2 linked regions of the Saccharomyces cerevisiae S288C genome follow. The protein of the gene in region 1 interacts with the protein of each later gene in a biochemical or structural test. Each region holds a gene or a part of one and is shown on either strand. Other genes may lie near its edges. The genes, in order: AIM23 and PET111.

The links.
Region 2: the proteins of AIM23 (region 1) and PET111 form a complex in vitro, tested with the Saccharomyces cerevisiae proteins (one study listed by BioGRID).

What each region holds. Positions count from the first base shown.
Region 1 is NC_001142.9:163,469-167,157, reverse strand, and holds AIM23 (Aim23p), read left to right. Parts: upstream 1-1,809; coding exon 1,810-2,880; downstream 2,881-3,689. Other genes in the region: URA2 (bifunctional carbamoylphosphate synthetase/aspartate transcarbamylase), read left to right, coding at 1-1,435; YJL132W (uncharacterized protein), read right to left, coding at 2,992-3,689.
Region 2 is NC_001145.3:778,866-783,685, forward strand, and holds PET111 (Pet111p), read right to left. Parts: upstream 3,167-4,820; coding exon 764-3,166; downstream 1-763. Other genes in the region: COX7 (cytochrome c oxidase subunit VII), read right to left, coding at 80-262; ROY1 (Roy1p), read right to left, coding at 3,755-4,820. UniProt on the Saccharomyces cerevisiae protein: Required for translation of the mitochondrial gene for cytochrome c oxidase subunit II (COX2).

The sequences.
Region 1 (3,689 bases):
TATGGGTATCAAAGATTCATTACCACTATTGTTGGCTGCTGTTGAAGAAGGTAAATTAACCATTGATGATATCGTCCTTCGTCTGCATGACAATCCCGCTAAAATTTTCAACATCCCTACTCAGGACTCAGTTGTCGAAATTGATTTGGATTATTCTTTCAGACGTAATAAGAGATGGTCACCATTCAACAAAGATATGAACGGTGGTATTGAGCGTGTTGTCTATAATGGCGAAACATTAGTTTTGAGCGGTGAATTAGTTTCACCAGGCGCCAAAGGAAAATGCATTGTTAATCCAAGTCCAGCTTCCATAACTGCTTCCGCAGAGCTCCAATCTACTAGTGCTAAAAGAAGGTTCTCGATCACGGAAGAAGCAATCGCTGATAATTTAGATGCCGCGGAGGATGCAATTCCAGAACAGCCTTTGGAACAAAAATTGATGTCTTCAAGGCCACCAAGAGAACTTGTTGCTCCAGGCGCCATCCAGAATTTGATCCGTAGTAACAATCCATTCCGCGGAAGACATATATTGTCTATCAAACAATTCAAACGTTCTGATTTCCATGTGTTGTTTGCTGTTGCACAAGAACTAAGGGCAGCTGTCGCAAGAGAAGGTGTCTTAGATTTAATGAAAGGCCACGTTATTACTACAATTTTCTTTGAACCATCTACTCGTACTTGTTCTTCATTCATTGCTGCTATGGAACGTTTGGGTGGTAGAATTGTAAATGTTAATCCATTGGTGTCTTCTGTCAAGAAAGGTGAAACCCTTCAAGATACTATCAGAACTTTGGCTTGTTACAGTGATGCCATTGTCATGCGTCATTCAGAAGAAATGTCTGTTCATATCGCCGCTAAATATTCTCCTGTTCCAATTATTAATGGTGGTAATGGTTCTCGCGAGCATCCTACGCAGGCCTTCTTGGATTTGTTTACGATTCGTGAAGAAATCGGTACTGTTAATGGTATTACTGTTACTTTCATGGGTGATCTCAAACATGGTAGAACCGTACATTCATTGTGTCGTTTGTTAATGCACTATCAAGTCAGAATTAATCTTGTTTCTCCTCCGGAATTGAGGTTACCAGAAGGATTAAGAGAAGAGCTAAGAAAAGCTGGCTTACTTGGTGTTGAGAGCATTGAATTAACCCCTCATATCATCTCAAAGACCGATGTTCTGTATTGTACAAGGGTCCAAGAAGAAAGATTCAATAGCCCTGAAGAATATGCACGTCTGAAGGATACTTATATCGTGGACAACAAGATCTTGGCACACGCCAAAGAAAATATGGCTATCATGCATCCATTGCCTCGTGTAAATGAAATCAAAGAGGAAGTGGACTACGATCATCGTGCTGCTTACTTCAGACAAATGAAGTATGGTTTGTTCGTCAGAATGGCTTTGTTGGCCATGGTCATGGGTGTTGATATGTGAATGATAAGAGACCTATCCGTATTTTAAATTTATAATCTATTATTAAACTTTTTTAACCAATATTTTTATTTGTATATTACACTCAATAATATGATTTCCCAAAGTCGAGTTTTTATTTAAAACAAAAGATGGAATGATTTTGTAAACAAATTTTCTTGAGGAAACAAAAAATGTTTAAGGCATAGGAGTTGAAGGTAATCTCGTTCCTTTTGTCTAGTTTTCATCCTGAGCTCTTGAATTTTACCTGAATTTTCCCGCGACGGTAAGAACTTTAAGGGTCTAAAAAAGTAAGTTCAGAAAACTATAACAGCTATATATCACAAAATGCATACCTGATGCATACACAGTAAGGAGGTAACATCAGGTCCGTGGATATGTTAAAAGTTCCTTTGAGTGATGTTCTTTCACAGAAGATGCTGTTTTTAAAAAGTTTTAGATATTTTCATTGCACAAAATACTTCAGCAGAGACAATGCATCATCTACCACAGATATATTTCGCAACGCAATGAAACGTAAACGTGAGCTGGCAAATCTTAAAGAGCAAAGTCATGGAAATGTGGCAAGAAATGCTGCTTTTCCTAAAGAGTATATTAAGCGCCCGAAACAAGTGCCAAGGAATGCTACTAACAGGAAAAAAATCCTGATTACTTGGAGCACCGGGACAGATCGAGCTAAAGAGGCAGCTAATTCAGTTGTTAGTGAGATATTCAAAAAAAATCACAAGGGAAACATCAAAGTTGTGGATCCCACTACCCACCGAATTGAAGCATCCAATATTCGGTATTTTGCCAAGGGCATTGATCTCGATAAAGTTGGACTCAGTATTGTTAATGTAGAGCAAATCGATAATGAAAATCAAATTCCACTTGTTAAGATAGTCGAAAGTCGTGTAGCCTTAAAAAAATATTCAGACTTTCTGGCTAAAAAAAAGGAAAAGGAACTGATGGAATTGGGAGTACTGAATAAGTCTTACAAGAATTTGGTGACTGATAAAAAAGAAGATAACTTGAAGCATATTAAAATATCATGGCAGATTGAAAGCGATGATTTAAAAAGGCAGAAGGCTCACGAAATAGTTTCGCTATTGAAAAAAGGGAATAAAGTAACGTTATATCTTGATGACAAGAATAACATAAATTCAAACAATTGGCTTGAAAATTTTGAGGAGCTGGACCGCTCTCAAAAAGGTGAACCACCCAGGCTACCAGAATCAGTTTTCCAGAAAAGAGCTGCTGTCTTGGAGACATTGAAAGAGATAGTTAGCGAATATGCTAATGATCCTGTTCTGCTAGGTAACATGAACTCGAAAATGATAATGAAACTTATACCAAAGGACGTTAAACCACAAAACAACGATAAGAGGGCGTTAAAGGAATTGAGAAAGAAGGAGAGGCAAGAAAAATTGCAAAAAAGGATTCAGAGAAAAAAAATGAATGAAATGTAAATAGAAGCAAATGACATCAGAATATATATAGCGCATATTGCCAAATATGCTTTTCAAGTATTAAATTAATGTAATTGAACTAAACCGATGCTTGTACATAATAACTTATCATTAAAGTACCAGGATTCTACCGGTTAGCTGCATGTGATCAAAATTTCCATACCCATATTGGGGAATGCCTACTATAAGGTGATTTTGGGGACCCAAAATCATGCTATTACCAAAATTTGACACACCCTTGCTACTTTTGTCAGGATTTATGAGCATGAGATGCCTTAAATTATTAATCAAAAGGGTTTTGCGCTTCGGATCGTTTCCCGCCTTTAATAGCTCATCCATACTAATTTTCCATATACTTCCTCTTGCATCGAAACTGCCTGGGGAGGAAACGTACAATTTCTTTTCTTCGTCATTAAACAGCAAAGATGAACCAAACTCATCCGGGATTGAATCTGATTTTGTCTTAATCTTTAGAACCAGTTTTAAGAAAAACTCTATTTGCCCAGACTTCTCAATATATATAAACACAGTGTCAAACATTGGTTGAGATACGGCTACAAAACTCATACCTTCAAAATTCCAAGAATATATGGCTGCACCGAACATACCATGTTCTTTTGAGGGAATTATATGCCACTCAACGTGGTCACTGTCCTTTGCTGGAATGACGCCATTTTTCGTTATATAATATATTGGGATGGACAAATCGTGTAAATCATTACTCGAATAAACAAAAACAGTACCAAGACTTTGACATGTAATATATATTAACTTTTGTTTGTCAGTCGTGTCAGATATCTGAATTGTTG
Region 2 (4,820 bases), on another chromosome or scaffold:
GTGATGTGTATTGAGCATACACACTTAATATCAAAGAACAATTATAAAGATGCTATGAACGGATGTTATTTTTACCTAACTATGCCTTCTTGGCTTTGATACCTCTAATAGCATTTGGAATGTATAGAAGTGGTGTAACGACGGCTACCGCAAAAATAGCATAAAATGGATACAGGTATAAAGCTGACCTTGGATGTCTCCACCATAGAGGTTTAGTGGAAGATTGGAAGATTTTCTGTAGTTGAATAACTTTATTAGCCATTATTTATTATTGTTTTGCTTTCTGTACTTGTTGGTTTAGAATCTTATATCGAGTTCTACTATTCATGGGATGAATAAATAATATCATCTTTTATTTCTATCCGCCTTTTCAAACCTGCCCCTACCAGGCCGGATTTCTCGGACGATGCGCGGCGTAGCCAATCAAGTACTGCCTTTTTTTTTTTTTGCTGACACTATATGTATACGTGCATATAATCAAACAATAAAGCAATTGTAAGCGTCAGCAATTCTAGCTGTACTAAGATCGTAGTGATTATATGCGCTTATATTTACATGGTATGAAGAATAAAATTTGAATAAATAAATAAACGTACTCTTTACGAGTACAAATCTCAAAACTAAAAGAAAAAAAGGGTTACATCTTGTTTCCAAATAGCGTCTATAGAAATGTAGGGTATAAGTTGATGCAAAGGTTTTTAGCGGTGTGTATGACACACAAATATTTACACGTGAGAGAAAGGAAGGTAAATAACTGAAAAGATTACTCCTCCTCCTTTTTATTCTCTTCAAAAAGCTTCATTTTCCTTTCATTTTGCTCCAACTTTAATAGTGAAATCTCTTCATCAAACCATTCTTTTAAGAAAAGTGTTAACTTTCTCATATTCTCAAGCCCCTGGTATTTATAGTCCACATATCTAAGTACTAACTCGTCAATGCGATCCTTTATCTCCTTGTTATCAATGGAAGCAGCAGTTGAAATGTAAGCAGGCCTTTTCTCAAAATATTTCATAAAGCCTTTGATTTGTCTAATGCAACCTGGAGTAATCAGGCTTGCCCTATGATTACAATTCCAGTCTTTTAAAATCCTACTAAACCGTTCGCTTTCATGCATTCTTGACGCCAACTTTAAAGATGTCATGTAATACATCATCCACTGTTTGTTATTTGAAGTATCCAAATTTTTTCTAGCTTGTGAAATTAGGTAACATGCATATTTGAAATCACGGGTGTGGAAACATATTTGAGTAAGTTGTAAATAGTTTTGAACTGAAAGCTCCTTTTGATGTACTCGTTCAAATTCCTTCAGTTTGAATTCCAGTTCTTTTAAATGTTCAGCAGACAACTTTTCAAAAGATCTATAATTAGAAATGATCTCCCATTTCAACCATAATATATCGACTTTTAGTGGGATATAGCGGAATCTGGTCCTTAATATCACATCAACTACACGTGCCAAACCAGTTAAAGAGTTTCTCAAGCATAATGCCAAAACGGAATACAAAAATGAAAATTGAGGCGCAATGCCCTCCTTCAAACTATTCGAAATCACCAATTCTGCTCCATATACATCATTGTGAGAAACTTTTTTCTTGAACTCTTCAAACCTTTCAAAATCAACCGCGTTGAAACCAGATAACGAAGAGTCTTCTCCTCCATTGATCTTTCTCGTATGGATATGGGCATTTTCTTGTAAAAATGTGTACACCCAAGTGAGACATTTGCTGTATTGGCTCCTTTTTAGAGTCACAAGTAGGTCATTTGTAATTTCTTTTGCCAGCATTGGATAAACATTTACGGCACATGACCATAATTGTTGAATAAATGCGGGCCGTAATCGCGTTTTACCATCAGTGGTTTTAACTACACTGCGATAATATTTGAAAAGTCCTTCGAATTGATTGGTGTTGACAAAATACCTAGAAATGCACAAATGAAACGAACCGTCTATGCTAATATCATTATCTCTCTGGATTTTTTCCAAGATTACTTTTAAATTCTCGAAATTGTTAGTAGAGACGTACGCTTGAACCACTGACATATATAGCTCTTTTCGTGTTGAAATATTATTATTAAGTCTGGTAATAAATTTATCAACTCTTTCCATCAATATTGAGTCATCAATGCTTTTTGTTCTGTCTCCTTTGATGCAATACAGAGAATGACAAAATTCAATCAACTCAAACTGCACACTTGATGTATATCCCGTACTTAAAACAACGGGATTGGTTAAAAAATCGTTTAGCTCATCTGTATTAGAAAAACGTAATAACATTCTGTGTATTATCGCGAGGGTTTTGAACGAGGGAAGGTTAGTTGAAGAGGATTGCTCATCACCACATTTCACTTTCAACCAGAGATAAAAGATGTGTTTCATACTGGACATATCTAGATATCTTTCCATACATCGGAGAAACTCAAAAAGCTGCTTTTCAGTTATTGGAAATGTATCAGGATTGGTAATTGCTTGCGTGTAAAATTCCACCGCTAGTTGAGTGTTATTACTCCTTATGAAAGAGTTTAATCCTAAAGATATCATTTGTGGCTTTACTTTGCAATATTTGATATATTCTGCAAATAAAGTTTCACAGACATCAAAATGATGTAAATTATGCTGTACTACCAACATAATTTCGATGAACTGACCATATGTGCCTTTATCAGTGTGGCTTGCTAATAAGGGCGTGAATTGCTCATATGTTGTGTATATTTGTCCAATATCGTAGTCCCTTTTCAAAAAGTGAAGAGAATTTATTAAGATCAGTAATTGCTGTATTGAAAACAAAACCTTTTGGTTAGTGGAAAGGCTAATTATTGTCATCAAAATATCTGGATCTGCACTTTCGAATTTTTGCTTCCACAATATTCCAAAATCTTTGTCTTTCACTATATTATATTGATTCTTAAGAATATCTAAGCTGCTGGGGCTTTTGGTAATGGAGTCCATCCAATCGAGTTTATTCCGAGACTCATACACACCGCTTATTGTTGAAGAATCTTTTAGTTGCGCTTTAACCCAATCCTCAATATCTTCCTTATGCTTTTTTTTGATCAACTCAGTTGAGTAATATCGTACTTTAAAGAAAACAGTGTGCATAACCTTGTTTGATTCTCTGTGAAGTAATCTCTTTATACCACTGGAGGATATAAATCTCCGTTGTAACATTAAGTTCTCGTAAGCAATTGTTTAAATTTAATAGGTAGTGATAAAAAATTTGACGATATCAAAGTTGTGGTGTAATTAATAGAATACATGAAAAGTTATGATCAACATAAAAATGCTCTATACCAGATAGAATTTTATAAAAAAGGAAGAGAATAAAACGATAATAAAAGGAAAGACAGGTTAAACGATTGGAATGGGGTCTTCAAGTTACAAATCTAGAGGAAAGTGTAGACCTAGTGCAGCAATTGTAAATTTTGAACCTTTCTGTGGGGGGAGGGGTTTCTCAAAGTATCAGATAGTATTATGCACGGTAAATAAAGCCTAACAACAAGAAGTCCAAACAATAAATAACAACCGTTTCTGATCCTTGGATCGTATACAGAAGCTTGTTCATTTCAGTTTTTTCATTGTCTCTTCCTTCGGTATGCCTACCTTTCTGAAATATATGGTTATTATTCGAAGAACTCGTAAGGTCCGGGTAATAATTATGAAATGCAATAGTAAAATATAATTATTACTCAACTGGCTGTATATATACGAACTCCTTCAACAAATGTACATAAGAAATGTTTATCACAACTATCAAGTTTAATCATAAATAGTTTCATAAGTGTGTAATTCTGGGCTCACGCTAAAGTATATTCCTGACAACATAGTTTGGCGAAGGTTTGGCAATATCTTTATCAAGTAGTTCATGTAAGGATAAAAAAAATGCGATATAATAGTGGCTAAGGGCTCAAATGAGGATTCGTCAAAATAACATTCATAACTTGCAAAGTGATGAATTCTCTCAAAGCCATGGAAATTCCACGTCGTATCCTCAGGGGCATACTGTAGTAAATCCAAATCCCAGTTCTTCTGAGGATCAAACCTCTTAGCTAGAGATTTTCCAGTATATGCTGCAAACACTATCGGTATAATATCCAAGTATCTTGCATCCGGGGTCGAAAAGTATTGATGATTCATGATGTACTTATCAAATAATGGTAAGTATTTGGAGCAGAACGCACATTTGCAGCCGTTCCACAAAAGGTCACACGCATACATTTCATATGAGGTGATGGACTGCAATACAGTTGGAGCTATTATTGTTTCCAACGAAGTTAGCTTTGGTAAAACCTTTTCATAAAGTTTTTTACGGCGAAGCAAGTTCCCATCAACAGTATCAATGCCCTTGCCATTTAAAGGTGGGTCATGTCGTATGCTTAACAAACGCAAATCTTTACTCACGTTTGGTAAATTTAAAATAAACTTATTAACGACCAAGTCCCATTTCTCGTCCATGTAATGGTACCCTTTTTTGGTGAATGTCTTTTCAATGAACCCCAGACTTGTTAAGGAAACAAGGTTTCCTGTTATATCTTGAAGAAAGTCATCATCACATTCACAGTCGTCCACCTCACAAGAAAATTCTAATTCAAGGGCTTTAAGATTGGATAAATTAACTACATCCTTAAACGCGCGTGAAGATAATCTCATAGAAGTAGCACTCCCATCACCTTGTTTGTGAACATGATTAAGCTTCAAACGGCGCAGATTCTTGAAGCGGAGGTTCAGGGAATCAAAGTATTCAAAGACCCTTAGGCTTGAGTACGCTTCGTCCTTTATTTCTAACTCTCCTCCATTAAGTTGCTTCATTAACATTACACCCACT